4 linked regions of the Anolis sagrei genome follow. The protein of the gene in region 4 interacts with the protein of the main gene of each other region in a biochemical or structural test. Links are inferred from orthologs where the notes say so. Each region holds a gene or a part of one and is shown on either strand. Other genes may lie near its edges. The genes, in order: NHERF2, PDGFRB, MEX3C and PTEN.

The links.
Region 1: the proteins of PTEN (region 4) and NHERF2 form a complex in vitro, tested with the Homo sapiens proteins (2 studies listed by BioGRID and IntAct, with this or other methods). The link is inferred for Anolis sagrei from reciprocal best matches to the Homo sapiens genes PTEN and NHERF2.
Region 2: the proteins of PTEN (region 4) and PDGFRB form a complex in vitro, tested with the Homo sapiens proteins (2 studies listed by BioGRID and IntAct, with this or other methods). The link is inferred for Anolis sagrei from reciprocal best matches to the Homo sapiens genes PTEN and PDGFRB.
Region 3: of the proteins of PTEN (region 4) and MEX3C, one has a biochemical effect on the other in vitro, tested with the Homo sapiens proteins (2 studies listed by BioGRID). The link is inferred for Anolis sagrei from reciprocal best matches to the Homo sapiens genes PTEN and MEX3C.

Annotation. Positions count from the first base shown.
Region 1 is NC_090034.1:20,931,694-20,939,490, forward strand, and holds the start of NHERF2 (Na(+)/H(+) exchange regulatory cofactor NHE-RF2), read left to right. Parts: upstream 1-4,794; 5' UTR 4,795-5,022; coding exon 5,023-5,307; intron 5,308-7,797.
Region 2 is NC_090022.1:85,965,633-85,972,996, reverse strand, and holds the start of PDGFRB (platelet-derived growth factor receptor beta), read right to left. Parts: upstream 3,013-7,364; 5' UTR 2,796-3,012; intron 1-2,795. UniProt on the Homo sapiens protein: Tyrosine-protein kinase that acts as a cell-surface receptor for homodimeric PDGFB and PDGFD and for heterodimers formed by PDGFA and PDGFB, and plays an essential role in the regulation of embryonic development, cell proliferation, survival, differentiation, chemotaxis and migration.
Region 3 is NC_090022.1:286,899,344-286,907,288, reverse strand, and holds the start of MEX3C (RNA-binding E3 ubiquitin-protein ligase MEX3C), read right to left. Parts: upstream 3,008-7,945; 5' UTR 2,993-3,007; coding exon 1,831-2,992; intron 1-1,830. UniProt on the Homo sapiens protein: E3 ubiquitin ligase responsible for the post-transcriptional regulation of common HLA-A allotypes. Binds to the 3' UTR of HLA-A2 mRNA, and regulates its levels by promoting mRNA decay.
Region 4 is NC_090023.1:182,601,351-182,608,221, reverse strand, and holds the start of PTEN (phosphatidylinositol 3,4,5-trisphosphate 3-phosphatase and dual-specificity protein phosphatase PTEN), read right to left. Parts: upstream 3,009-6,871; 5' UTR 2,419-3,008; coding exon 2,340-2,418; intron 1-2,339. UniProt on the Homo sapiens protein: Dual-specificity protein phosphatase, dephosphorylating tyrosine-, serine- and threonine-phosphorylated proteins.

The sequences.
Region 1 (7,797 bases), on a different chromosome or scaffold from region 4:
GTATATAAAATGTGACCCAGAGACAGCAAAGTCTCCATAACCTATCAAAGATAATCCCCTAAGAACATGAAGGATGGGCAAACCCCTCTGGCTGTTTCCCAAGCCAGGCAATCACCAGACCAATTGTTTATGTTTACGCAGAGATAGGTGACTTCCCATGCCAGCTCAGATAAACCCAAAACTATCTAGATAGATGATTCCCTTGAAGCTGAGAGATTGTTTCCTGTGGAAACAGAAGCAAAGAGTATGTGTGTTTGTTAATTCTCTTTCTTGACAGACAAGCCCTGATCATCACCTTTTGTTTAAGGAGTCTCACACCTTTGTTTTCGGAAGCTCTTATCTTTGTCTGCTATCAAACTGGACAGTTGAGCGAATCAAAAGCTCATTAACATTTCCTTGGTATTGTCTTCACAGATTATGTATCCTCCCAGGGGGGTGTTACATCAAATGATTAGTCCTTCACCGGCCTATCCCCGACCTTCATTTCCCTACCAAAGTGGCAGCATCAGTAGAGCCTCCAGCCAATCGGGGTATGGATCCTTACCAGTCCCCTTTTTGACCAATTAGAGGAGGGAGTGGGAGTTTTGAATAGCTGTTAAACTGTATAAGATATCTTGCTTTTCTCTGTGTGTTATGCTTGCACTTTTTGAAGCATCTTGCTTGTACTTGCATCCCTTTTGGCCTAATTGAATTAAACCTCTGTGGCTTGTCTTCATCCTGGTGAGTTGTTTCCCTGTCCTGACCCATTCGGTTTAGAATATGCTTACCAGGCACGGACCCTCTTATCAGTGGTCCTAGTTTAACCACTACACAAATAGGAAATTGAGCATGTTTTGGAGAAATTACAGGAAGTCACTTTGGGGCTCTTTTTTAGCTGCTTTGGGGCTCTTTTTTAGAGACATAAAGCAGGATAGAAACAACAACAATAGCAACAACAACAGCCTAGAATTGTGCATTCTAATTACTCCATGATCAAGGGTAAGTGAATCTGAAGATATGGGTTCTGCCGTTAAGGGTGGTCTTACTATAGTTCTTAAAAGTTTAGCTTCAGCAGCAAACTATATTTCCTAAGAGTTGTTTAGACTTCCATCCAGCCAGACTTCTATCTGGCTGGCTAACTTTTAAATGGAGATTTGCTGGAGTTTATCATGGTTGAATCAGCAGATGGCAGCATTGGATCAATTTTGGCCAGGCTTCGGCAGCCTTGCATTGGAAAGCTCTCTGCAGTATATTGAAGATCCAATGTCTTGTTCTTATTCCAGTTATATCACCGCACAGCACAGTCTTGCCATACGGTGCAACCCTCTTGGTAGTAATTAATGTGTCTCTGTGTCTGGTTTGTAAAGTAAAAGGCAGAAAAACCAGAGGAAGACCTGAATGGACTCCATCAAGAGAGCCCTGAGTTTGGAAGGGCGGAATAATATTAGGATCTATTGGAGGTCTCTCATTCATAAAGTAAACCATAAGCTGAAGCTGGTTAATGTATTATTATTTACTGCAAAGAGTCTAAATACCTTCAAGGCACCAGATTCTGCCTCAGCTTGGATGCTAAGCAGGGCCAGCCCTGGATGGCATTTGGATGGGAGACTGCCAATATAGATCTAAGTGCTATACGCAATATTTCACAGAAAGGAACTAGCAAAGAAAGGCCTAAATCCTCTAAAGGCACCAGATCCCAACTGACTGTGAATGCTAAGCAGGGTCAGCCCTGGTTGGTTCCTGGATGGGAGATCGCCAATGTATATCTAAGTGCTATAGGTAATATTTCCAAGAAAAAAGACTACCTAAATCCCCTAAAGGCACCAGATCCCAACCAATTGTAGATGCTAAGCAGGGTCAGCCCTGGTTGGTACTTGGATGGGAGATCACCAATGTATATCTAAATGCTATAGGTAATATTTCAAAGGAAGGAACTACCTAAATCCTCTAAAGGGACCCAATCCCAACCAATTGTGGATGCTAAGCAGGGTCAGCCCTGGTTGATACTTGGATGGGAGGCCGCTAATGTATATCTAAGAGCTATAGGAAATATTTCAAAGTAAGGAACTAACTAAATCCCCTAAAGGCACCAGATCCCAACCAATTGTAGATGCTAAGCAGGGTCAGCCCTGGTTGGTACTTGGATGGGAGATCGCCAATGTATATCTAAATGTTATAGGTAATATTTCAAAGGAAGGAACTACCTAAATCCTCTAAAGGGACCCAATCCCAACCAATTGTGGATGCTAAGCAGGGTCAGCCCTGGTTGATACTTGGATGGGAGGCCGCTAATGTATATCTAAGAGCTATAGGAAATATTTCAAAGTAAGGAACTAACTAAATCCCCTAAAGGCACCAGATCCCAACCAATTGTAGATGCTAAGCAGGGTCAGCCCTGGTTGGTACTTGGATGGGAGGCCGCCAATGTATATCTAAGTGCTATAGGCAGCATTTCATAGGAAGGAACTAGCAAAGAAAGGCCTAAATCCTGGATCTCAACTGATTGTGAATGCTAAGCAGGGCCAGTTTTGGATGATACTTGGATGGGAGGACACCAATGAATACCATAGGAAAAACCATGTCAAAGTTTTCCTTGCATAAGAAAACCCGGAAATCCATAAGCCTGGCAGTATGATGGCAATGGGAAGAAAGGGGAGCCTACGCTGCATTGCTTCTTTGAGAACAAATCCTTCCTTCAAAGCACTCCTCTCGCATTGTATGACAGCAAGGGGTCAAAGCACTCAGCTCCTGAATCCTCCATAATGGAGGCTGTGGGCGGAATAAAGCACCTGGAACACACCGCTCTTTAGGCCTCCGGAATGAGACCGCTGTGCAGGGTGTGCAGAACGGCAGGAGACTTTTCTTCAAAAGCTTTAATGTGTTGTTCTTGCCATTTGCGAACAAAAGAGCAGCAAAATGATTGAAGGGGGTGGATTCTGAAACACCTTCGCTCCCCTGAAAACATCCAAGGTTTCCTGCCAGTTCTAAGTTCCAATGTCACTCGTGCAAGGAAAGAGAAATATGGAGAAACAGGGGACTTGAATCTTGGGACCCTAGCATTGGAAGGGGCCTCTAAAGGCCATCCAGATGAGTGTGAACTCCAATCTTTGCTTACTTCTTGCTCAGAAATACCCATTATTTGCATGCTGGGTAGAAAGGGGCTTGAGTATCGATATGCAGCTACACTGCAGAATTAATGCAGTTTGATGCCACTTGAACTGACCTAGTTCAGTGCTATGGAATCCTGGGAGTTGGAGTTTTGCCTTCCCTGCCAAAAGATGCGCTTTGTGCCTCCCCAAAGTGGCTTGAATGTTACAATCCCCATTTGGTTGCACAAGGTGGTTATGTTTGTTTTTAAGCTTTGGGAAAATAGGAAGGAAGGAAGGTAGAGAGAAGTGAAGGAAGGAAGAGATGGGAGAGAGAAGGAGGCAAGAGAAAGAAGGGTAGGAGGGAAGGGAAAAGGTGGAAAGGAAGGTAGAAAGAAAGAATACAGAGAATGAATGAAAGTTAGAAAGAAGGAAATTTAAGAGCTTCAGAGTAAGAGAAGTGTAGAAAGAAAGAAGGGGGTAGGAAGGAAGGAAAAGAGAAGTGGAGAAGAGGAAGGAAGGTAGAAAGAAGCAAAGAGAGAAAGGAAGAAAGGATAATAGAAAGAAGGAAGAAAGATGGGAAGAAATGAAGAAAGACAGAAAGGATGGAAGACAGAAATAAGTGAAGACAGAAAGAAAAGAAGGAAGATAGAGAGAAGTGAAGAGAGAAAGAAATGAAGATAGAAAGAAACAAAAAGAGAAAGGAAGGAAGAGAGCTTCTTTTTGGGAGGCTTTTAAGCAAAGGCTGGATGACCATCTGTCAGGGGTGCTTTGAATGTGATTTTTCGGCTTCTTGGCAGGGGGTTGGACTGGATGGCCCATGAAGTCTCTTCCAACTCTATGATTCTAAGGAAGGTAGAAAGAAATGAAGAAAGAGAGAAAAGAAGAAAGGAAGGAAGATGGAAAGTAGCGCAGAAAGAGAGAAAGAAAGGAAGATAGGAAGGAAGATAGAGAGAAATAAAGAGGGAAAGGAAGGAAGATAGAAAGAAAAACGTGAAGAGAAAAAGGATGGAAAATATGAATAAGTGAAGAGAAAAAGGAAGGAAGGAAGATAGAAATAAGTAAAGAAAGAGAGAAAGGGAGGAAGGGAGGTAGAAAAGAAAGGAAGAAAAGATGGAAGGAAGGAAGGAAAGAAAGAAGGTAGAAAAGAAAGGAAGAAAAGAAGGAAGGAAAGAAAAGAGGTAGAAAATAAAGAAGGAAAAGGAAGGAAGGAAAGGAGGTAGAAAAGAAAGGGAGGGAGGGAGGTAGAAAAGAAAGGAAGGATGGGTGGAAGGAAGGAAAGGAGGCAGAAAAGAAAGGAAGAAAAGACGGAAGGAAGGAAGGAAAGGAGGTAGAAAAGAAAGGAAGAAAAGAAGGAAGGAAGGAAGGAAGGAAGGAAAAGAGGCAGAAAAGAAAGAAGGAAAAGAAGGATGGAAGGAAAGGAAGGAAGGAAAGAAAGGAGGTAGAAAAGAAAGGAAGGAAACAAGGAAAGAAAGAAAAGAGGCAGAAAATAAAGAACGAAAAGAAGGAAGGAAGGGAGGTAGAAAAGAAAGGAAGGATGGATGGAAGGAAGGAAAGGAAGGAAGGAAAGGAGGCAGAAAAGAAAGGAAGGATGGAAAATCCAGAGTATCTGAGAGGGAGAAAGAAAGAGAGAGAAGATAGAGAGAAACAACGGAAGGAAGGAGGAAGAGGAGAGAAAGGGGACGCCCCCTCCTCTTTCTCTGAGCCCCCCTTCCTTTTTCCCAACCTCTGGAAGGTTCCGGTGGATGAAGGAAGGAGGGAAGGAGCAAGGAGAGCGAGAGAGAGCGAGAGAGAGAGAGCGAGCGAGCGGGGAAGGGGCGGGGCGGCCTTGTTGTCCTTCCTCCTCCTCCTCCTCCCCCTCCCCTTCGTGGCCATGATCCGCACCGGGGCTCGGGTCCCTCTCTAGCCTGGCTCCGTCCGGCAGCCGCTTCCTCCCGCCCGCCCGCCCGCCGCGGCCATGGCCAAGGAGCAAGGCGGCGCCGCCTCGGCCTCGGCGGGCTCTCCGCCGTCCTCGCCGCCCGCCTCCTCGTCCTCGTCCTCGGGGCCCCCCGTCCCGCGCCTCTGCCCCATGCGCAAGGGCCCCTCCGGCTACGGCTTCCACCTCCACGGGGAGAAGGGCAAGAGCGGGCAGTTCATCCGGCAGGTCGAGCCCGGCTCCCCCGCCGAGGCCGCCGGGCTGCGGGCCGGAGACAGGCTGGTCCAGGTCAACGGGCACAACGTGGAGAAGGAGACCCACCACCAGGTCAGAAGGAGGGAGAGGGCGGGCGGGGTGGGGGGGGGGGGAAGAGCAAAGACGGGGCTCTCCCTGCCTGCCTGCCTTTCTCAGGCATGGGCCAACTTCGGCCCTCCAGGTGTTTTGGACTGCAACTCCCACCATTCCAAAGAGGGCAAACTACAACTCCCAGGGCCCAATCATATTGAGCCAGGAGGCAGTTCAAGCGCTAAACTGCAACCATTCCACAGTGTGGACCAGGCATGGGCCAACTTCGGCCCTCCAGGTGTTTTGGATTTCAACTCCTACAATTCCTAACAGCCACAGGCTCTTTCCTTTTCCGCTTAAGCGGCCGAGGGGGGAAAGAAAGGGGCCTGAGGCTGTTGGGAATTGTGGGAGTTGAAGTCCAAAACACCTGGAGGGCCAAAGTTGGCCCATGCCTGGGGTATCTATCTATGTATCTCTCTCTCTCTCTCTGTGTATCTCTCTCTCTGTTTCTGTCTCTCTGTATCTATCTTCTATCTATCCCTTTCTATCTTTCTCTCGTCTGTCTGTCTGTCTGTCTGTCTCTCTCTCTCTCTATCTTCCTCTGTCTATGTATCTATCACCTATCTCTTTCAATCTTTCTCTGTATCTATTTGTGTATCTCTGTGTCTACAATATCGATCATCAATCAATCAATCTTTCCATCTTTCCGTCTACATGTGTGTGTCTCTCTTTCTATGTCTATCTATCTATCTATCTATCTATCTATCATCTATCTCTTTCTATCTCTTTCTATCTTTCTCTGTATCTATCTATCATCTATCTCTTTCTATTTTTCTCTGTATCTGTGTGTCTCTATCTATTTCTGTGTATCTCTCTCTCTCTGTCTCTCTCTCTCTCTCTGTGTGTATCATCTATCTATCTCTTTCTATCTTTCTATCTGTCTGTCTCTCTCTTTCTATCTCTGTGTATCTATCATCTATCTCTTTCTATTTTTCTCTGTATCTGTGTGTCTTTCTTTCTATCCTTTTCTATCTCTCTCTTTTTATCTGTCTATCTCTCTATCTATTTGTGTATCTCTCTATCTATCTGTGTATCATCTGTCTCTTTCTGTCTTTCTGTCTGTGTCTCTATCTATTATCTATCTATCTCTTTCTATTTCTCTCTCTACCTATCTATATGTGTCCCTCTTTCTATCTCTGTGTAACTCTCTCTGTGTCTATCACTCTCTCTGTCACTCTCTCTCTTTCTTTTCATCTATCTATATCTATCTATCTATCTATCTATCTATCTATCTCTGTCTGTGTACCTTGCTCTCTGTCTCTGTTTAACTCTTTCTCTATCTATCTATCTATCTATCTGTGTATCTCTTTCTCTTTGGCCACTTCTACACAGTTGTATAAAATCCACATTGAATTGGGTTATATGGCAGTGAGGACTCAGATAACCCAGTTCAAAGCAGACATTGTGGATTATCTGCCGTGATATTCTGGGTTATATGGCTGTGTGGAAGCCCCTTCTCCATATCTCTATCTTTGTGGTGTATCTCTATCTATCTATCTATCTATCTATCTGTGTATATCTCTCTCTCTCTCTCTCTCTCTCTCTCTGTATCTCTATTTGTCTATCTCTGTGTATCTCTCTTTTTCTCTATGGCTGGATCTACTCTGTCATATAATCCAGATTATCAAATCAGAAAATCCACATTATTTGCTTTGAAGTGCATTATATGAGTCTCCAGTTCAAAGCAGATAATCTGGATTTTATATGGGGCCCAAATCTGTGTATCCATCCTCTATCTATCTATCGATCCCTCTATCAATCTATCAATCTATCTATCTACCTATCTATATATCTCGTATCTCTTTGTGTATCTGTGTATATATCTCTCTGTATCTATCTATCAATCTGTGCATCTATCTATTTTTCTATCTATGTATCTATCAGTGTATCTCTATGTATCGATCTTTGTATCTATCAATCTGTTTATCTATCTGTGTATCTCTATCTGTATCTCTCTCTCTCTTGATCGATCTATGTATATCTATCTATCTATCTATCTTTCTATCTGTCTTCTAAATGTTCATTACACTAACCAGCCATTTGTGTGGAGGGTTCACATGGGGTCTTCCTGCCCTGCCAAAGGAGGTCGGACTGGAGGGCCTTCAGAGTCCCCTTCCAATTCTAGCATCCTATGATCCTATGACCCTATTTCTCCATATCTATCTATCTGTCTGTCTGTCTGTCTGTCTGTAAATGTCTATGTATGGGGCAGGTTCCAATCTCTCTCCTGCAGCTAGAGACCATTCACCATCATTTTTTAGCAAGGAAAAAGAAATATCGAGACATTGAGCAATAGAATCATAAGGTCCTAGAGCTGGAAGGGGCCTGTAAGGCCATCCAGTCCAACCCCATTCTATTAAACAGGAAGGCTGTCAGCATCCAAGCCCTCCCCACAGATGGCCATTTAGCTTCATGGACATTTGTGGAGAAACAGGGCAGTTGAATCATAGGGTCCTAGAAATGGAAGGGGCC
Region 2 (7,364 bases), on a different chromosome or scaffold from region 4:
AGTGTCTAGATCCAGGGAAGTCATGTTGCCCCTCTATTGTGCCTTGGTCAGACCACACCTGGAATAATGTGTCCAATTCTGGGCACTGCAATTAAAGGGAGATGTTGACAAGCTGGAATGTGTCCAGAGGAGGGCGACTAAAATAATCAAGGGTCTGGAGAACAAGCCCTATGAGGAGTGGCTTAAAGAGCTGGGCATGTTAAGCCTGCAGAAGAGAAGGCCGAGAGAAAACGTGATGGCCATGTATAAACATGTGAGGGGACGTCATGGGGAGGCTTGTTTTCTGCTGCCCTGGAGACTAGTACGTGGAACAATGTCTTCAAATTACAGGAAAGAAGATTCCACCTGAACATTAGGAAGAGCTTCCTAATTGGAGAGCTATTCAGCCACGGAACTCCTTGCCCCAGAGTGTGGTGGAGGCTCCTTATTTTAAACGGAGGCTTGATGGCTATCTGTCAGGGGTACTTTGAATAAGATTTTCCTACTTCTTGGCAGGGGGTTGGACTGGATGGGCCACAAGGTCTCTTCCAGCTCTATGATTCTAAGTGCACAGGAGTCAAGGGCAACAACATCCTCAAGAATGACATGGAGGATGCCGAGAGCTCATCAGTGCTTTAGGTTCTTAATGCATATAACATGCTTTAGCAGTTTAGCTCAATGATCACCATAGCAACCTAAGTAAACAATAACTACCATAGTAAACTGAGGCAATATTGCTGTTGCAATATGACAGTGTGGACCTGGCATAAAAGGCGAAACTGTCCAGTGAGATGACAGTTGAGTAGAGAATCAAACTGAAGGTTCCTGGCAGATAGCTTTTTTTTTTTTTCTTAACCACTTTGTTACAGCAGTACTTCCTCTGGTAGTTTGGGTCTGGAAAAAGAGACACAAAGTATGGCAACAGTAGCCAATGTCTCTTATTGTACAATGGATATAGCTTTCATGCTGTGAGAAACATTAATGTGTGTTTTACCATCCTGTGGGAGGCTTCTCTCATGTGCCCACATGACAAGCTGGGGCTGACAGACAGGAGCTCACCCCACTCCCCTAAAAGAATAGAAAGAAGAAAGGAGGATCAGGCTGCAGGTAGTTTGAAAAACCTGAGCCTCAGACTCTGGACAGCTACTTAGGCAGACAAATACAGTGAGTCCTTGGTATCTGCTGGGGATTGCTTCCAGAACTCCATTTGGGTACCAAAATCCATGGATGCTCATGTCCCATGATATACAGTGGCATGGTACAATGGTGTCCCTTATATAAAATGGTAAACCAAGGTTTGCTTTTGAAATTTTAAAAATATTTTCAAGCTATTCAAGATGGAATCTGAGGATAAAGAATCCATGGATACAGATAGCCAACTGTAGTGCAACTGTAGTATTGAGTAGCTTCCTGCATTTCCAATGTATATTATGTGACCAGCAGCATTGATGGATAAGACTGAACAACCCCTGTTCAATGTATTGTCGAAGGTTTTCATGGCTGGAATCACTGGATTGCTGTGAGTTTTCCAGTCTGGATGGCCATGTTCCAGAAGCATTGTCTCCTGATGTTTCACCCACATCTATGCTCAGAGGTTGTGAGGTCTTTTGGAAACTAAGAAATTGGGGTTTATATATCTGTGGAACATTCAGGGTGGGAGAAAGAACTCTTGTCTGTTGGAAATTGTGTGATTAAAAACCATGAAAATGAACAAAATCTGGCTACTAGTATTTTTAAAAAACTCTAACATCAGGACAGTAAATAAAGAACACCACTCAGAAAACAGAGGAATTCTGGACATGAATCTATAAGGGGCAGCTAACACCTCCCAACAAAGGATTCCCCCAGGCAGCAACCACCCAAGCATTGAACCTGCAAGGCTATTGAATGCTAATCAAGATGGCCAATTGCAGCACTCACACTTGCCTCAAACAGACAAGAGTTCTTTCTCCCATCCTGGACATCCCACAGATATCTAAACCCCAATTGCCTAGTTTCGAACAGACATCACAACTTCTGAGGATGCCTGCCATAGATGTGGGTGAAACGTCAGGAGAGAATGCTCCTGGAACATGGTCATACAGCCTGGAAAACTCACAGCAACCCAACCATTGTGACTGTGTGAAAGTAGCCTTTCTGATGAAGATGGGGTTTCTTTAGTAGCTCTGAAGTTTTGTGCTTTAGAAAGCTGTTCTCCCATACCAGGATGATGAGTGTTACCTGTTCAATAATCGGTCAAAAACAGCCCTCCCTCACCCCCTAGAGGTGCTGGGTTATGATGCCCATGGTCTCTAGAGGGAGATGCCAGGCTCTTCCTCTCCAGCCCTTGCCAGAAGCCACAGGCTGCCTGCCCAGCCTCCTCCTCCTGATCTTTTCCGGAGCCTAGAGGATGCTCGGGACCATCCCTTGGTATCAACGCTCCCCTGGCTTCTTGGAGGGCCATTTCAGAAGCAAGGGTGGCAAGGCAGGGAGAGGAAGCCCCAGTCCAGCTCTATTCGGCTATAACATCAAGAGAGCTTGGGCAAGTCCCTTCAGAACCGGCCCCAGACCCAGCCAAAGCTCTTGTAGCCCCTTCACCATGCGGCGCCTTTAGGAAAGGGGCGCGAGGGAGCCAAAGCCCCCCAAACAAGCCCGAAGGAAGGTCCAAAGGCGTGCAGGCAAAGGAAAGTGGCCAGGTTTCGCCTCTTGGAAGCTGCCCTGGAAAAGGAAGGGCGCTGCGGGCTCGCGCTCTCCACATCTGGATTTGTTCAAAAGAGTTTCCATTTGCAGCTCTGGCTCTCCGGCTGGAAAAGCAAAGGGGACCGGAGGGGGCTTACCTGGCTCTCCCACACTAGGGAGGGGGCACCGCTTGGCCCCACAGGGCGCCCTGGGCTTCCGCGAGGCTCCTTCGCCCGGCTCCCTCGGAAGTGTCTCCGGAGGCAAGCCCCACCAGCCTGGACTTCAGCTCAGCTGGGCAGCCCTTTCCAAACTCAGGAGGAGGAGGAGGAGGGAGCCAGCCGGGCGCTTGCCTCCTGCTCCCGGCCCAGAGAGGGGGGGGGGAGGGAGGCGGGAGGCGGGGCGGAGGGCCAAAGGGGGCGGGGAGGCAGGCAAGGAGGGGAGGAAGCCAGGAAGGGGTCTCCCGCTGCCTCCCGAGGCAGTCAGCCCGGCCTTCTCGCGCCCCCTCCGAGCACGCGCTCCGCATCTTTGGGCTCAGCGGCAGCAGGAGCAGCAGCAGCAGCCCTTCCCTCGCCTGCCACGGCGCCCCGAGCGCACGGATGGAGAGCGGCTTCTCTTTTGAAACCCTGCTCGGCTCCAACATTTGTTTGGACAATTTGGGGACAGAGAAAAGAAAGCTGGCCTCTTGGCCCTTTGTTGGTTTCCATTGGGGGAAGTTCTGAGGAAGCCCCAAACACCCAGACTTGGGGGCGGGGGGCGGGGATGAAGGAGAGCTCCCTTGAAAAACCCAGCTCCTTCCTTCCTTCCTCCTTCCTTCCTTCCTTCCTTCCTTCCTTCCTTCCTTCCTTCCTTCCTTCCCTTCCTGCCCCATCCTTCCCCTCCCTCCCTCCCTTCCCCTTCCTTCCCTTTTTCCTTCCTTCCTTCCTTACTTCTTTACTTCCCCTCCCTCCCTTTCTTCCCTTCCCCTCCCTCCCTTCCTTTCTTCCCCTCCCTTCCCTTTCTTTCCCTTTTTCCTTCCTTCCTTCTTTCCTTTCTTCCTACCCCTCCTTTCCTTCCTTCCCTTCCCTCCTTTTTACTCCGTTCCTTCCCCTTCCTTCCCTCTTTCCCCTCTCTCCCTTCCTTCCTTCCTTCCTTCCTTCCTTCCTTCCTTCAGACTCAGCCAAACAAATACAAGAGGAACCCAAAGTTTGGCCAAGACGTTTCCCCTCGGGGCGGCTGCCCCCCCTCCCCCCCGTGTGTGTGTGTGAGAAGGCGCCTGCTTTCCCCTCTTGCTTTCTTTCTCCTTTCCCCTCCTCCCTGCCAGCCAATCTGCCTGCCTGCCTTCTCCCCTTTCCCAGGATATGAGGGGATGTGCCGAGAATCCGCTGCCCACGCCAGGCGCTGACTCATGTTTTTATTAAAGAAAGGAGGCCGGGGCCTTCCATCCACGCCGCGGATCCAAAGCCCCGCGGCCCCCTCCTTGACACCCGGGGAAACGCCAAGGGGCAAAGCAGGAGGGCGGCTGGGGGTCCTGCCACTGGAGGCCTTATCGCCAGGGAGGAGGAGGAGGAGGAGGAGGAGGAGGGTGACTGGCTGACTCCGAGGAGCTTCGTCTGCTGGGCGGAGCCGCTGTTTACCAGCGCCTTTCTTTTGGGAACAATGGCAGGGTGGACAGGCCCGAGTGGGACGGGGGTGTGCGTTGCGCCTCGGCCTTGCCCGTTTCCCTTCGGCAGGAGGAGGGCGTGAGCAGGCTCTGTCTCCAGCCCAGCTGCGAGGCCCAAGGAACATAACAGGCCACTCGCGGGCTGAATCCCCTCCAAAGGAAATCTTAGTTCTGCAGAAGAAGTGCAAAGCAAAACCCCAAGGAGGAGGCCAGGCCCCTCTTCCACTTGAGCGTTTATATGGAGCAATGGGCAGCATTGGCTCCCTTGAATTTCTTTTGACTGCAACTCCCATCACCTTTCATCATTGGCTAGGCTGGGTGGGAGTTGTAGTCTAGATGTAACTAGAGCAGGGGCGTCTAACCCATTTTCACCAAGGGCCACATCAGCCATAAGGCCGCCTTCAAAGGGTTGGTTGTAATCTCAAGACTATACATGTAACAGTGTTGCCCTGGCATTGAATGCCTTACAGGCCACATAAAATGACTCTGCAGCCTGGATTTGACCCAGGAGCCTTGTGTTTGACACACAGTGATCTTGAATCTAACCAGTCCTAAAGAACTTGTTCTAAATTGGCATGGGCAAACTTCAACCATCCAGGTGTTTTGGATGTCAACTCCCAGAAATCCCGGCCAGTATACCAGCTCTTAGGAATTGTGGGACTTGAAGTCCAAAACACCTGGAGGGCTGAGCTTTGTTATGCCTGGAACAGGTATGGTGAACAGTTGACCCTCATTACCCACTGAGTCAGCCACCCACAGCTTGAAATTTAAAAGAAAACCCAAAGCCAACCTTCATTTTACCATTTTATATAAGGAACACTTTTTTTTTTACTATGCCATTATATATAATGGGACTGGGTTATCCATCAGTTTGGAAATCCACATGGGCCCTGGAAGCAAACCTCGGCTTATATTAAGATCCCACGGTACTGCCCTATTTGAAAAGTTAAAGAAAACTTCTAAAATGAAAACCAGTACCACAACTTCGCTTCAATATGATATGCATTTATTGTGTTTGCATTTGACAAATCTCAGTGGAATCCACAACAAAACCATAGCTGTGACACCTTTGCTGCCCCCTGGATTTGGAATCTAAGTGTCACATTTTGAGGGAGGGGGGGAGGGAAGGTCACAAAGTCCTTTATTTTGTATTACAGATGAAGGAAGTATTACTGCTTGAGGGAATGTATGAACTGCTTTAAAGTTTTTTCAGGGATCCCTTTTGTGATCTTTTAGACATTTTACTCCATGTTTGAGATATTATTAAGGTAAGCAGCTTATTTATCAAACCTGGGGACGTATAGAACTGATTTCAAAAAACAAATGAGGAACTTTGTTGCCCACATGGGAGACAAAGATTTCTCTGGAAGAAGTGCCTCCCTTTGGTTTGAGTAATGACAATGGAAGATAACGATGCTGGGGGAAATGAAAGGAAAAAGGAAGAGGGACCAACCAAGAGCAAGATGGATGGTTGATATCCTTGAAGTAACTGGTTTGGAAGGGCTGTAGAAGAACATGAAAACTTGAGAGGTATAATTAGCAAAATTTATAAGATACTAATTGAAATGAAGGATGAAAAAATAAAAAAGTGTACCCTTGAGATTTGGGAAGAGGATTTAGGGATGAAAATAAGTGAAACAGAGTGGCAACAGTTATGGGGACAAAGACATTTTAAAAAATTATCGATACGAGTTAAAGAAAATTATTACAAGTTAATATGGAAGTGGTACTTGACACCGGTAAGAATAGCATATATGAATAAAAATAACTCAATAAATTGTTGGAGAGGGTGTCAAGAACCAGGAACATATATACACATGTGGTGGCAATGTAAATATGTAAATAATTTTTGGGAGAAAGTATTTAGAGAAATAGAAACTATAATGAATATGAAAATAGATAAAAGTCCTAGTATAGCCTTACTATCATTATATAACAATAAGCAATTGAAAAAGGAAGATAAAGAAGCGATAACAAACTTACTAACTATAGCAAGACTGCTCATAGCAAGGAATTGGAAAAAAGAAATGAATATACAAATAGAGGAGTGGTATAAAGAAGCATGGAAAATAGCAATAAATGATAAATTGACATGTATATTAAAGGTTTAAAAAGGTACATGGAAACAAAGCGATTTTGATGCTGTATGGGGAAGATTTGTGGTAAATGGATTAAAAAATAAGGAAGGAAAATTACCATCACAAGAAGAAATGAAATTTTGGACAGATGAAATGTAAGAATGGTGGCTTGAGACGGGTGGAGGGGAGCACTGTGGTGATAAAAAGGAAAAAAAGAGAAAGGGGGGGGGGGGGAAATGCCAAAGCAAAACAATAAAACAACATGTTAAAGAGGCTGATGTACAAAATGCAATAGTATGTAATAAATGTGAAAAATCAATAAAAAATATTTTAAAAAAAGAAGTAACTGGTTTGGCCTTGAAGGAGCTGGGGGTGGCAATGGCTGACAGGGAGCTCTGGTCCAGGAGGTCACAAAGACTTGGAAGCGACTGAATGAATAAACAACAAAGACAATGGCAATGGAAGATCACACTCAGGGAGGAAGACTTTATGCTAACCAAAGGTGGATGTTTTGTTTTTCCAAGGTTTTTTTTTTTACTGCATCCAGATAAATCTACCTAGTTTGAGTGCAACCATGTTTTGCTTCATACAGCAAATCCCATCCTAGCTCTGACAATATACATAGACACTTTCTGAGGAATTCACTGCTTTCTTCTTGCAATACGAGTGGAACCTTTCCGGTTCCGGTATGGTGGTCGGCAGCAGAAACGCTGAGCTGCTCAGACCACAAATTAAATCCGAAGGAATCCTGGGTTCCCCCCTCACCGACCACCTTCAAATTGAGGGGGAGAGAGACCCTGAGCCTCAGGCTTCCTGCAGAGGGTCGAAGAGCCCGGGAGAAAGGCCGAGCCGCTTGCCACAGCTGGAACTGCGGCCTGTATCACCCTCCCTGCAACGGGTGGAGCCGCGGCTTGAAATTCGATCTTCACCCGGGAATAGAGCAAAACAAAAAACGGCCACCACTGCCGGCTGGTTTTCGATCACAGCCAGAGTGACTGCTGTCGGGGTGG
Region 3 (7,945 bases), on a different chromosome or scaffold from region 4:
GAAAGAAGGAAATGGACAGTTGTGTGTTGAGCTGGCTGAGCCTTGCTTCCATGAATGGAGGAGGAAAAGGTGGAGAGGAAAGGAGGAAATGGATAGTTGTATGTTGAGCTGGCTGGGCCTTGTTTCCATGAATGGAGGAGGAAGAAGCGGAGTATAAAGGAGGAAATGGACAGTTGTGTCTTGAGTGGCTGGGCCTTGCTTCCATGAATGGAGAAGGAAGAAGAGAAGTGGGAGGTAGGAAATGGACAGTGCCTTGATTTGAAAGGGAAGATGGGTCCAAGGGATGAGGGAAATGGACAGTTGTATGTTCAGCTGGCTGGGCCTTGTTTCCATGATGGAAGAGGAAGAAGAGGGGTGGAAACGACGAAATGTACAGTTGTGTGTTGAGCTGGCTGGGCCTTGCTTCCATGAATGGAGAAGGAAGAAGAGAAGTGGGAGGTAGGAAATGGACAGTTGTGGCCTTGTTTTGAAAGGGAATATGGGTCCAAGGGACAGGGAAATGGACAGTTGTGTCTTGAGCTGGCTGGGCCTTGCTTCCATGAATGGAGGAGGAGGAAGAGAAATGGAAGGGAGGAAATGGGACAGTTGTGGCCTTGTTCTCAAAGGAGAGGTGGGTCCAAGGGAGTAGGGAAATGGACAGTTGTGTCTTGAGCTGGCTGGGACTTGTTTCCATGATGGAAGGCGAGTGGAAAGGAGGAAATGGACAGGTGTTTTGAACTGGCTGGGCCTTGTTTCCATGAATGGAGGAGGGAGAAGAGGAGTGGAAGGGCGGAAATGGACAGTTGTGTTTTGAACTGGCTGGGCCTTGTTTCCATGAATGGAGGAGGAAGAAGAGAAATGGAAGGGCGGAAATGGACAGTTGTGTCTTGAACTGGCTGGGCCTTGTTTCCATGAATGGAGGAGGAAGAAGAGAAATGGAAGGGCGGAAATGGACAGTTGTGTTTTGAACTGGCTGGGCCTTGTTTCCATGATGGAAGAGGAAGAAGAGGAGTGGAAAGGAGGAAATGGACAGTTGTGTTTTGAACTGGCTGGGCCTTGTTTCCATGAATGGAGGAGGAAGAAGAGAAGTGGAAGAGTGGAAATGGACAGTTGGGGCCTTGTTCTCAAAGGGACGGTGGATCCAGCCAGTCTTGAGCTGGCTGGGCCTTGCTTCCATGGAGGAGGAAGAAGTGGAGTGGAAAGGAGGAAATTGACAGTTGTGGCCTTGTTTTCAAGGGGAAGATGGGTCCAAGAGACGAGGGAAACTGACAGTTGTGTCTTGAGCTGGCTGGGCCTTGTTTTCATGATGGAAGAGGAGTGGAAAGGAGGAAATGGACAGTTGTGTCTTGAGCTGGCTGGACCTTGTTTCCATGATAGAGAAGGAAGAAGAGGAGTGGAAGGGAGGAAATAAGACAGTTGGGTCCTTGTTTTCATAGATGGGTCCAAGGGAAATGGACAGTTGTATGTTGGGCTGGCTGGGCCTAGTTTCCATGAATGTGGGAGGAAGGGGAGTGAGAGGGAGGAAACGGACAGTTGTGTCTTGAGCTGGCTGGGCCTTGCTTCCATGAATGGAGGAGGAAGAAGAGAAATGGAAGGGAGGAAACGGACAGTTGTGGCCTTGTTTTGAAAGGGTAGATGGGTCCAAAGGAGTAGGGAAACAGACAGTTGTGTTTTGAATGGAGGAGGAAGCAGAAGAGTGGGAGTGAGGGAAAGGGAGGTTGTGGGTTGGGCTGATTGGGCCTTGTTATCCATGGGAAGGGGAAAGACACTGACTGGGCCTAGTTTCCATGAACGTTGGAGGAGGAGGTGTCTGGAAGGAAAGGCCTTCCAGCTGCCTGGCTGGCGACTCACCCTGCCGCCCCACGATCTCGGCCACATGCTCGGAGCTGGGCACGGGGACGCACTCGGTGGTGTTGACGCTCTTCCTCCGCAGCAGCGCCGCCGCCGCCGCCTCTCCGCCGTTGAGGGCCGGCCCGCCTCCGCCGCCGCCTCCTCCGGGAGCCGCCACTCCCCCTACTCCTGCTGCTCCCACTCCTGGCTGTGGCGGCGGAGGCCCGTAAGCCTGGGAGAGCATGGCGGCCACCACAGCGGGGGGCACCCCGTCCTCGCCGGGCGCGTAGAGCAGGCCTCCTCCTATTCCCCCTCCTCCTCCGCTTGTGGAGGCCGCGGGGGCCGCCTCGAAGGGCGGCGGGAGGAGCACGGCGCGGGGCAGGAGCAGCAGCGACGCCTGCCCTCCCTCTCCCTCCTCCTCGGCGTTCTCTTCCAAATCGAGGTCCAGGCCTTCAGGCGGGGGCGCGGCCTCCTCTTCCTCCTCCTCCTCGCCGTCTTCTTCGTCTTCGTCCTCCTCCTCGTCGCCGTCTTCTTCCTCAGGAAAGAGCGGTGGCGCGGAGGCCTCCCTCAGGCCCAAGCAGGCCAGGCGCTCCCTCAGGAAGAGCGCCTCCTGGGAGTACAGGCTCTGCGGCCTAGTCGTGGAGGAGGACGAGGAGGGCAGGAGGAGGACCATGTCTCCTGAGGGCGGCGGCGGCGCTTCCTCCTCCTGAGGCGAAGGCGAGGCGCTGCCGCTCGGCATGGCCGCCCAGGGCAGCTCGGCTAGGCCCCACGGAGGCGGCGGAGGAGGAGGAGGTGGCGGCGAGGAAGGCGGAGGCCGGTCAGGCCCTCGGAGGAGGCGGCGGCGGCGACGACATGGCGACGGCGGCTCCCCTCTCGGTGCTGCTCCTGCTCCTTCTTCTTCCTCCTCCTCCGCCTCCTCCTCGTCGCCGTCGCTGCTGCCGCCAGGGCCTTCCTCGCCGCCCTCAGCGCGCCTCCCTTTGTTCCATGGCAGCAGCGCCGCCCGCTCCCCCTCGCCCTCCTCCTGCTCCTCCTGTCCCTCCTCCTCCTGCTCCGGCTCTTTCTCTCCCTCTCCGGCTCCTCGGGAAGAAGAAGAAGGGGAAGAAGGCGGCGGTGGCGATGGCGGATCCAGCCCCGCCTCCTCCTCCGCCTCTTCCTCCGCCTCCTCCTCCTCGGCCGACCGCATCCACGCGCCACGCCCGCCGCCGCCTCGTTGCTTCCCTGCCTCTGCCCGCCCTCTCGCCGCGGCCAAAACCCACTCCCGAGACCCCGGCCGGGGCAGGATTGTTGGGTTGGCCCGGCGGGGATTGTGACGGGGTGGAGACAGGCCACCGCCGGGAAAGGGGGAAAGGGCACCCAGGCCTGCCCCGGAGGAGAGGAGAGGGCGGGATGAGGGCCAAAGAGAGGAGGGAGGAAAGAAAGAAAGAAAGAAAGAAGGGGAAGATATACACACACACACAAAGAGAATAGGAAGGTGGCAAGGGAAAGAGTGAGAAGGAAGGAAAGAAGGAAGGAAGGAAGGAAGGGGAGGTGAAGATTATATATATATATACATATACATATATATACACATGAGGAAGGGAGAAAAGAAGACGAAGATACACACACACACACACAAAGAGAATAGGAAGAGGGAAAGAGTAAGGAGGAAGGAAGGAAAGAAGAGAATAGGAAAGTGGCAAGGGAAAGGGTGAGGAGGAAGGAAGGAAAGAAGGGGAAGATATATATATACATATATATATATATACACACACACACACAAAGAGAATAGGAAGGTGGCAAGGGAAAGAGTGAGGAAGGAAGGAAGGAAGGAGAGAAGGGGAACATATATACACACAAAGAGAATAGGAAGAGAGAAAGGGTGGGAAGAAAGGAAAGAAGGGGAAGATACACACACAAAGAAAATAGGAAGGTGGCAAGGGAAAGGTTGAGAAGGAAGGAAGGAAAGAAGGGGAAGATATACACACACAAAGAGAATAGGAAGGTGGCAAGGGAAAGAGTGAGGAAGGAAGGAAGGAGAGAAGGGGAACATATATACACACAAAGAGAATAGGAAGGTGGCAAGGAAAAGAGTGAAGAGGAAGGAAGAAAAGAAGGGGAACATATATACACACAAAGAGAATAGGAAGGTGGCAAGGAAAAGAGTGAAGAGGAAGGAAAGAAAGAAGGGGAAGATATACACACACAAAGAGAATAGGAAGGTGGCAAGGGAAAGGGTGAAGAGGAAGGAAGGAAGGAAGGAAAGAAGGGGAACATATATACACACAAAGAGAATAGGAAGGTGGCAAGGAAAAGAGTGAAGAGGAAGGAAGGAAGGAAGGAAAGAAGGGGAACATATATACACACAAAGAGAATAGGAAGGTGGCAAGGAAAAGAGTGAAGAGGAAGGAAGGAAAGAAGGGGAAGATATACACACACAAAGAGAATAGGAAGGTGGCAAGGGAAAGAGTGAGGAAGGAAGGAAGGAGAGAAGGGGAACATATATACACACAAAGAGAATAGGAAGAGAGAAAGGGTGGGAAGAAAGGAAAGAAATATATATATATACATACACACACAAAGAATAGGAAGAGGGAAAGAGGAAGGAAGGAAGGAAAGAAGGGGAATATATATATATATATATATATATATATACACACACATACATACATACACACATATATACACATACATACATGCATACACATATATATATACATACATATACACACATACACAAAGGATAGGAAGAGGGAAAGGGAAAGGGTGAGGAGGAAGGAAAGAAAGAAGAGGAAGATACACACACACACACAAAGAGAATAGGAAGAGGGAAAGAGTAAGAAGGAAGGAAGGAAAGAAGGGGAAGAGAGATATATACACACATACACACAAAGGATAGGAAGAGGGTAAAGGTGAGGAGGAAGGAAGGAAAGAAGGGAAAGATGTATATATATATATATAGAGAGAGAGAGAGAGAGAGAGAGAGAGACACTCACACAAAGGATAGGAAGAGGGAAAGGGTGAGGAAGAAGGAAGGAAGGAAGGAAGGAAAGAAGGGGAAGGTATACATACACACACACACACAACAGAAGGCAAGGGAAAGGGTGAGAAGGAAGGAAGGGAAAGATATACACACACACACACACTAGCCGTCCCCTGCCATGCATTGCTGTGATCCAGTCTATGTATATGTATTTTCTGTGTGTATATATGCATATATATGTGTCTGTATATATGTGTGTATGTGTATATATATGCATATATGTGTGGTTTTGCACATGCGGTGTAATGTAATTTTTGTTTTTGCCTTTTAAGTCCCTTCCATTGTGTTTTTCAGTGTTTTGATGAGTGGTCACTCGTTGGCCTGAGAGGTGTAATTGTGTCCAAATTTGGTGCCAATTCATCCAGTGGTTTTTGAGTTATGTTAACCCCACAAACAAACATTGCATACATATATATATATATATATATACTAGCCACCCCCTGCCACACATTGCTGTGGCCCCGTCTGTGTTTTGTGTATGTATATATGCATATATGTGTGTGTATAAATGTGTGTTTGTTTATATATGTGGTTTTTGTGCATGCGTTGTAATGTATTTTTTGTTTTTTGGGTTTTTAAGTCCCTTCCACTGTGTTTTCTAGTGCTTTTCTGAGTGATGGTCACTTTGAAAAAACTCCTAAAATTCAACAAAAAATATTGTAGTTAAGATGGTATACAGCAGATTAATAAGGTAGATGTTCAAAACAAGGTGGAGGTGTATATAAGGTGTAATTAGTCCTCTCCATAGGCTAAAGTGCATAGATGTGTTATAAAAAGCTTTTAAAAGGAGAGCAGAGAGGGGGCAATTTTTAATGGGACCAAGAGGAGGGCCTCCTCTGCAGACCGTAGTGCTTGTGCTGGTTTGTACACGGAGATGTGGTTTTTCAGGTAATCTGGGCCCAAACAGTTTAGGGCTTTATAGGTAATGACCAGCACTTTGTATTTAGCCTGTCAGCAGACTGGCAGCCAGTGGAGTTGTCCACTACCTGTACGGTACTACAGTTAGTAATATGGCTGCCGATCCCTGAACCAGTTGAAGCTTCCAAACAGTCTTCAAAGGCAGCCCCACACAGACAGCGCTGCAGTAGTCCAGGTGGGATGTGACTAAGGCATGTGACCCCGATGGACTTCCTTCTGCGTCACAATATTGTTGCTAAACTACCAGAAAATTTGACAAATTCGATGACTATAAAATTAACAGCAGCAATGAAAACAATGGTGTGTGCTTGTAGGATGTGCCGATGAAACAATGTGATTGACAGTGTCATTGTGCTTGAGTAATAATGACATCTCTGACTGGAGTGCAGGCACACCTGAAGACTCAAAAAGTCAATCAGTATAGAGTTTTAACCTTGCAGGTATATCGACACAGTACAGGTAAGGATGAGGTTATATCTAACTTTTGTGGATTCAATTTGCTAATTTGCACCAAGTGACATACATACATACACAATGTTCTTATTCCAAACCAGGAATATTTATATGAAACTAGCTGTCCCCTGCCACGCATTGCTGTGGCCCACATGGGGGTTCTGTGTGGGAGGTTTGGCCTAATTCTATCGTTGGTGGGGTTCAGAATGCTGTGTGATTGTAGGTGAACTATAAATCCCAGCAACTACAACTCCCAATGTCAAGATTTTATTTCCTCCAAACTCCACCAGTATTCACATTTGGGCATATTGAGTCTTTGTGTAGAGTTTGTTCTAGACCCATCATTGTTTGAGTCCACAGTGATCTCTGGATATAGGTGAACTACAACTCCAAAACCAAAGGACACTGCCCACCAAACCCTTCCAGTATTTTCTGTTGGTCATGGGAGAACTGTGTGTCAAGTTTGGTTCAATTCCCTCATTGGTGGGGTTCAGAATGCTCTTTGATTATAGGTGAACTATAAATCCCAGCAACTACAACTCCCAAATGACAAAATAATTTTTCTTTTGAGTGAAGGACATACATTGGGTTGTTAGGTGTCTTGTGTCCAAATTTGGTGTCAATTCATCCAGTGGTTTTTGAGTTTGGTTAATCCCACAAACGAACATTACATTTTTATTTATATAGATAATAATTTTCTACTGAAACTTCACAAAAATTGGTGTCACGATCCCTGATGGTGTCCCAAAGAGTAGTTCATACAACCTGCTATTATTCAGAAAGCCTTGATCTCCAATGATTATTTAAATAAATGATTTTTTTTGCCTCTGACAGGCAGAGGAACCTATTCTCCTGGTCAAGAATATTCCTGGTTTGGAATAAGAGCACGGTGTATGTATGTATGTCACTTGGTGCAAATTAGCAAGTTGAATCCCCAAAAGTTACTGGCCCACATTAATTTTTTATTAACCTTGTCTGGCATATAATCTACTTGAGTACCATTTATGTTCAAGCTCTACAGACCATTATCTGTGCCCCTTTCTGACTTGCAGGAGAAATTGGTCTGTGAAAAACAAACTCACATTGTTATGGAGTAGTTTAAACCCTTCTGTGTCCCATGGGTTGCTCTCTTTGCATTCCAAGGCTGCTAATTTAAGGAATAAAGTGGTGGAAAGAAGGAATAATGTGTTGTTTACTGGGTGGCGTATTTTCATTTTGGTGTAATGTAACTTTAACGTAATGTGACAAGGCAATGTTTTAATGTTACCTATGTTGTAATATTGTTTGTCTAAGTATCCACTTGATCTTGGAAGCTAAATGCTCAGCCCTGGTTAGTACTTGGACTGGATACAAGGTACTGTAGGTTATATTTCAAGGGAAGGAACTGGCAGAGGTGCCTCTGAGTATATTCCTTTCCTGAGAAATTCCTATGAAATTTGTGTTGTTCCTATAAGTTAGCAGGCAACTTGAAAGTGCATACACCAGGGGTCCTCAAATTTTTAAAATAGGGGGCCAGTTCACTGTCCCTCATTTACTTACTACTTAGGCGATCCCTCATTGTCTGAATAAGATTGTCCTCCAAGTTCAGTGGACTGGTGATGGGTACGTACGTAGGTGACTGTGGTGCCCTATTCTTGACCTGCATGTTCTCCCACAGTGAGGGCATCAGTTTCCAGGTGAAAGGCGGTCCCGGTCAGGGTTGGCTTGACACGCCTTCCTCTTGGCACGTTTCTCTCTTTCGCCCTC
Region 4 (6,871 bases):
TTTCCAACAGCCCCTCCTCCCTCAGGAAGGTGAAGTTTCACAAGGGCCCCTTCCACACAACTGTATAAAATCCATATTGAACTGCAATTATATGGCAGTGTGGACTCAAATAATCCAGGGCCCTTCCACAGAGCTGAATAAAATCCCACATTATCAAAGCCAATACTGTGGATTATTCTGTCTTGATATTCTGGGAGCCTTTCCACACAGCCCTATATCCCAGAATATCAAGGCAGAAAGTCCCACAATATCAGCTTTGAACTGGGTTATCTGAGTCAACACAGCCATATATTCCATTTCAATGCAGAAAATATGGGATTTTATTCAGCTGTGTGGAAAGGTCCCGAGTCCACACTGAGATAATGTGGGATTTTCTGCCTTGATGTTCTGGGATACAGGACTGTGTGGAAGGCCCCTGGGTTAGCTGAGACCACATTTCCATATATCCCACCTCAAAGCAGAAAATGTGGGATTTTGTCCAGCTGTATGGAAGGGGCCCACAATATCTGCTCTGAACTGGATTCTCGAGACCACACTGCCATATAATCCAGTTCATAGCAGGTAATGTGGGATTTTATTCAGCTGTGTGGAAAGGCCTGAGTCCACACTCAGATATTCTGAGATATAGGGCTGTGTGGAAGGACCCTGGGTTATCTGAGTCCACACTGCCATAACCCTAACCCAGGGCCCATCCACACAGCTCTATATCCCCAAATATCAAGGCAGGAAATTCCACGATATCTGCTTTGAACTGGGTTATCTGAGCCCACACTGCCATATAATCCAATTCAAGACAGCTGTGCGGAAGGACCCTGAGTCTACACTCAGATATTGTGGGATTTTCTGCCTTGATATTCTGGGATATAGGGCTGTGTGGAAGGGCCCTGGGTTGTATGAGTCCACACTGCCATAACCCTAACCCAGGCCCCTTTCACACAGCTCTATATTCCAGAATATCAAGGCAGAAAATCCCACATTATCAGAGTGTACGCAGAGTTCTTCCACAGTCCTATATTCCAGAATATCAAGGCAGAAAATCTCACAATATCTGCTTTGAACTGGGCTATCGGAGTCCACACAGCAATATATTCCAGTTCAATGAAGAAAATGTGGGATTTTATTCAGCTCTGTGGAATGGCCCCGAGTCCACACTCAGATAATGTGGGATTTTCTGCCTTGATGTTCTGGGATATAGGGCTGTGTGGAAGGGCCCTGGGTTGTCGGAGTCCACACTGCCATAAGCCTAACCCAGGGCACTTCCACACAGCTCTATATCCCCGAATATCAAGGCAGAAAATCCCAAATTATGTGAGTGTACTCAGAGCTCTTCCACGCAGCCCTATATTCCAGAATATCAAGGCAGAAAATCCCAAATAACTGAGTGTACTCAGTTCTTCCACACAGTCCTATATTCCAGAATATCAAGGCAGAAAATCCCACAATATCTGCTTTGAACTGGCCAATCTGACTCCACACAGCCATATATTCCAGTTCAATGCAGAAAATGTGGGATTTTATTCAGTTGTGTGGAAGGGCCCTGAGTCCACTCAGATAATGTGGGATTTTCTGCCTTGATGTTCTGGGATATAGGGCTGTGTGGAAGGGATCTGGGTTGTCCGAGTTCACACTGTCATAACCCTAATCCAGGGCCCTTCCACACAGCTCTATATCCCCGAATATCAAGGCAGAAAATCCCACAATATCTGCTTTGAACTGGGCTGAGTCCACACAGCCATATATTCCAGTTCAAAGCAGAAAATGTAGGATTTTATTCAGCTGTGTGGAAGAGCCCTGAGTCCACACTCAGATAATGTGGGATTTTCTGCCTTGATGTTCTGGGATATAGGGCTGTGTGGAAGGGCCCTGGGTTGTCCAAGTCCACACTGCCATAACTCTAACTGAGGGCCCTTCCACACAGCTCTGTATCCCTGAATATAAAGGCAGAAAATCCCAAATTATCTGAGTATACTCAGAGCTCTTCCACACAGCCCTATATTCCAGAATATCAAGGCAGAAAATCCCACAATATCTGCTTTGAGCTGGGCTGAGTCCACACAGCCATATATTTCAGTTCAATGCAGAAAATGTGGGATTTTCTGCCTTGATGTTCTGGGATATAGGGCTGTGTGGAAGGGCCCTGTGTTAGCTGAATCCACATTTCCATATATCCCATCTCAAAGCAGAAAATGTGGGATTTTGCTCAGCTGTATGGAAGGGGGATCTGAACCGGATTCTCTGAGCCCACACTGCCCTGCAATCCAATTCAAGGCAGCTGTGTGGAAGGGCCCTAAAGGAGGCGAAGGCGCAATCCAAGCGAAGGCGACCCACGGGAGGGATACAGGTCAGGTCTAGATCGAAGCCATCCTCCTGGTATCTCCTTTTGTTCCTGCTGACGATCTCTTTGATGATGGCGGTCATGTCTGGGAGCCGGGAGCCGCTGAGGAACAGGGCGGACAAGCACGGCGGCGGCTGCAGGGCGCAGAGGGCGCGGAGCCTCGGCGGAGGAGGAAGAGGCAGAGGAGGCGGAGGAGGGGGAGGCTGGCCCCCTCCCGCTTCGGCCCGCCAACGGTGAGGAGGACGGCGGCGGCGGCGACTGCTGCTGCTGCTCACGGAGCGGCTCGAAGAAGAAGGTGGAGACGATGACGGTAAGGCGGCTGCTGCTGCTTCTCCTCCTCCTCCTTCTTCTTCTTCAGGCGAAGGCCCGGACGCGGCCTGGCCCAGCGGCGGCGAGAGCGTCGCTTCCTGAGGCGAGGAGGAGGCCGAGGAGACTGAGGAGGAGCCGCCGCCGCCGCCGCCGAGGCTCCCTCCTCCTCCTCTCTCCCGCGGGCTCGAGCGGCGGCGGGGCTCCAGGAGGACCGGCGACGGCAGCAGCTTCGCCCGCTTTTCCCCACCCGCCCGAGCGGGCGGGCAGGCAGGTTGCTCCTTCCCTTGCTTTCCGAAAGCGGGAAACGCAAAAACAAAAAAGGACGAAAAAGGAGGCGGGCGGGCCCGAGAAACAGAATTAAAAAATCAATAAAATAGCCCTCTCAGGTCCTGAGGGGAAGGCGGCCTCCTCGCCTCATTCCTCTGCGCGGCGGTTGGGTCGCCTTCCTTTCCTTCCCTTTCCTTCCTTCTTCTTTGCCTTCTGCCGCGCACGCGTAGAAGAGCCGAGCCGATTTTTTTCTCTCCTCCTCCTCCTCCCTCCTCCCTCCCCCCTCCCTCCTTGTCTCCAAGAGAGCGGCTGTTCCTTCAATCGCTGACACCCCCCTTTTTTTTCTTCTTCTTCTTTTCCTTTCTTCCTTTTCCTGACTTTCTTCTCCTTCAAGGCTCACTTGCAGCCTCGCTTGCGCCAGCCAACCATCATGGCTGCAGCTTCCGAAAGAGAGGCAGAGCGAGAGGGAAAAAGGAAGCAAAGGGAGGGGGGGAGAAAAGGAGGGGAGGGGGAGGGAGAAAAAGGAACAGCGCCGAAAGAGAGAGGGGAGGGGGAGGAGGAGGGGGAAAAAAAGTCAGCGGGAACGCATCACTCCGCTCTTGGTGAGCTCCCTCCGCCGCTGGAGGAAAAAGGAGTCCGCCGCCACATCACCGCCTCCAAATCTCTTCCTCCGACTTTTCCTTCCTTTCTTTCCGTTCCTTTCTTTCCGTTCTTCCTTCCTTCATCAAAAGCAGATTCAAGCCGAGAAGGGCGATTGCTCCTAGACTGGAAAAGAAGAAGAGGAGCGCAGGCGTAGAGAGAGAGAGAGGGACACGTTCGGAAGCGGCGGAAGGATATCCCACAGGCGATTGCCTCATCCCAATGACGGGCTAATTCCCCCCGGAGTCACGTGACGGGTGTAAAGCAGAGGAAAGGGAGGGGGCACTTCCCGCTCCTCCGCCTCCTGAGCTGAGGCTGCTTCTGCCCCACTTCTTTCCAAGGGAGGGCTTGCATCAGTATCACAGCCTTTTCTATTGTACACCCCTTGCAATGGCCCTTTTTTTTTGCAGCAGGAGGTGCCTTTGGTCCCCAAGAGCCTCCTTGCAAGGCTTATTGATGCATTGGCCTAGCAGCCACCCTTTCACATTGGCTTTTGTTGTCCTGGTTGCAATCCCTGGTTAGGCTGTCCAGTCTGGGGTTGAGACCTTGCACCAGTGGGCAAAGAGAATCTCTGGGGAGGCCCTGCTCTAGGCCCTACCATTATCACAAGTGAGACTGGTGGGGACGAGGGACAGGGCCTTCTCGGTGGTGGCCCCTCGCCTATGGAATGCACTCCCCAGGGAGATTAGGTCATCAACATCCCTCCTCTCTTTCAGAAGGAAGCTAAAAATCTATATGTGGGACCAGGCTTTTGGGTAAGCTGGCAGATGGACAAAGACAATGATGACCAGAGTAGGAAAGGACAATGACGATGTTAGATGGATTACCGATTTATGAATTGGCGAACATTGACCACAAGATGATTTTATTGCTGCTATTGTACCGTCTTGATTGTTTTAACTAGTTATAACTGTTGACGCTATATTGTAATTTTGTATATTTATTTTGTGAATTGTTGGGCATCGAATTGTGCCTTTTGTAAGCCGCCCTGAGTTCCCCCTAGAGCAATGGTTCTCAACCTGGGGTCCCCAGATGTTTTTGGCCTACAACTCCCAGAAATCCCAGCCAGTTTACCAGCTGTTAGGATTTCTGGGAGTTGAAGGCCAAAAACATCTGGGGACCCCACGTTGAGAACTACTGCCCTAGGGGGTTGAGAAGGGGTAGAAGCACCCCAAATAAATAAATAAATAAATAAATCTTTGCCCATGCTCTCATACCTCACAACCTCTGAGGATGCTTGCCATAGATGCAGGCGAAACGTCAGGAGAGAATGCTTCTAGAACATGGCCATATAGCCAGAAAAAACTACAACAACCAAGAATCAGAACTGCTTCCTGTTGGGTCTTTGTGATTGCATATGAGCCGGCGCAAACTTTAAGATCTTCCGGGGGAGGCCCTCCATTCGCTCCCACCACCGTCACAAGCACAGTTGGTGGGGACGAGAGAGAGGGCCTTCTCGGTGGTGGCCCCTCACCTCTGGAACACCCTTCCTGGGGAAATAAGACAGGCCCCATCACTCCCCTCTTTTCGTAAGAGCCTGAAGACCTGGTGGTTTAAACAAACCTTTGAGAATGACTAGTTCTTGCTCTGCCCCAGATACTGTTGAAATTGGCCATATCTTCTTCTGCCAATTACCCAGGTCACTCTCTTCTGTTAGGCCCTGGAAATGTATAGCCATAGACATGTACAGCCATAGACTAAATCACATTAGCCTGGCCTGGCCTTTTAAACTGCCTTGATCAGACATGATTATTTTAAATATATGTGCTATTGTGGTTTTAATGCTTATACTGTTTTGTTAATTTTATGTTTATGCCTTTTTTTCTTGTATGTATTGATTATGTTACTTGGAAACCGTTCTGAGTCCCCTTGGGGAGATAGAGCGATATATAAATAAAGTGTTGTTGTTGTTGTTCCAGGATGTGGCACTCAAAGGATGCACATCATGGGGATTGCACAGCCCCATGGATACATAGCATGAGGATTGTGGAGATTGTATTGTCGAAGGCTTTCACGGCCAGAATCACTGGGTTGTTGTAGGTTTTACGGGCTATATGGCCATGTTCTAGAAGCATTCTCTCCTGACGTTTCGCCTGCATTTCTAGCAAGCATCCTCAGAGGTTGTGATGTCATCCACAACCTGTGAGGATGCCTACCATAGATGCAGGCGAAACGTCAGGAGAGAATGCTTCTAGAACATGGCCATATAGCCCGAAAAACCTACAACGCATTGTGGAGACTTGGTAACTAGGATGGCATGGCATGGAGATTACAGAATAGACTAGCTTTATTTGTCATTGCGCTATTGCACAACAAAATGACATGCCTTCCCCTGTACGCACCACAAAACAACACACCACCTCCACACAGCCTTCAATGCTACATCGGTGCAAAACCACTGAGTTCAATATAGCCACAGGTCTAGGATAAAAGCTATCCTTCAGTCTGTCTGTCCTTGTCTTTGTCACACTGTGCTGTCTGAATAGAATAAATGATAAAGGAAATGCAGGACTGTTCCCAGAGGAAAATAAGGGAAATAGTGGAAAAGAGATGGATACATGTAGGGGACAAGAGCTATTAAATATAGAATTTTTAATCTACTTTTTGTTAAATTGTTAAAAATATATATACTATTTAAGTCACCTATATTATCTTCTAAACTTCCTCACGAGAAAAAATGGTTATGTTCTACTAGTTTGTACTAAATTTAAAAAAACATTTAAAAAGAGAGATGACCCCAAGGGTACATAGCATGAGGATTGTTGCGCCCCTTGGTACCCAGGGTGGCCTGAAGATTGCACAACCCAATGGTACCTACTAGGGCTGAATACTATGGAGATTGCACCACCCCTAGCTCCCAGGGTGGCATGGAAATGACATAACTCTGGGACCTAGGGCTGCACAGTATGGGGATTATACCACCCTTTGGTACCCAAGGTTGCATGGGATAGGGGTTGATCCCTTAGCCCCCCAGGGATGCGTGGTATGAAGTTTACACAAACCCTGGTACCTGGGATGGTCCTGGAATTGCACAACCCTTGGCACCCAGGGATACAGAGCATGCAGATTACATGGCCCCTGGCACCTGTGATTCTATCAGGATTGCACAATGCCTTAGTGTCCAGAGATGCAAAGCATGACCCTGGATACCTTGTGGGTGGGGATTGCACATCACCCGGCACGTAAGAAAACATAGCATTAGGATTCCATGGCCCTTCTCACCCAGAACTGCATAGTATGGGGATTAAATGAACCCTTGGCACCCAGGGATGAAAGACATGGTGATTGTACAACCTCTGGCATCCAGGAATGATTGGCATG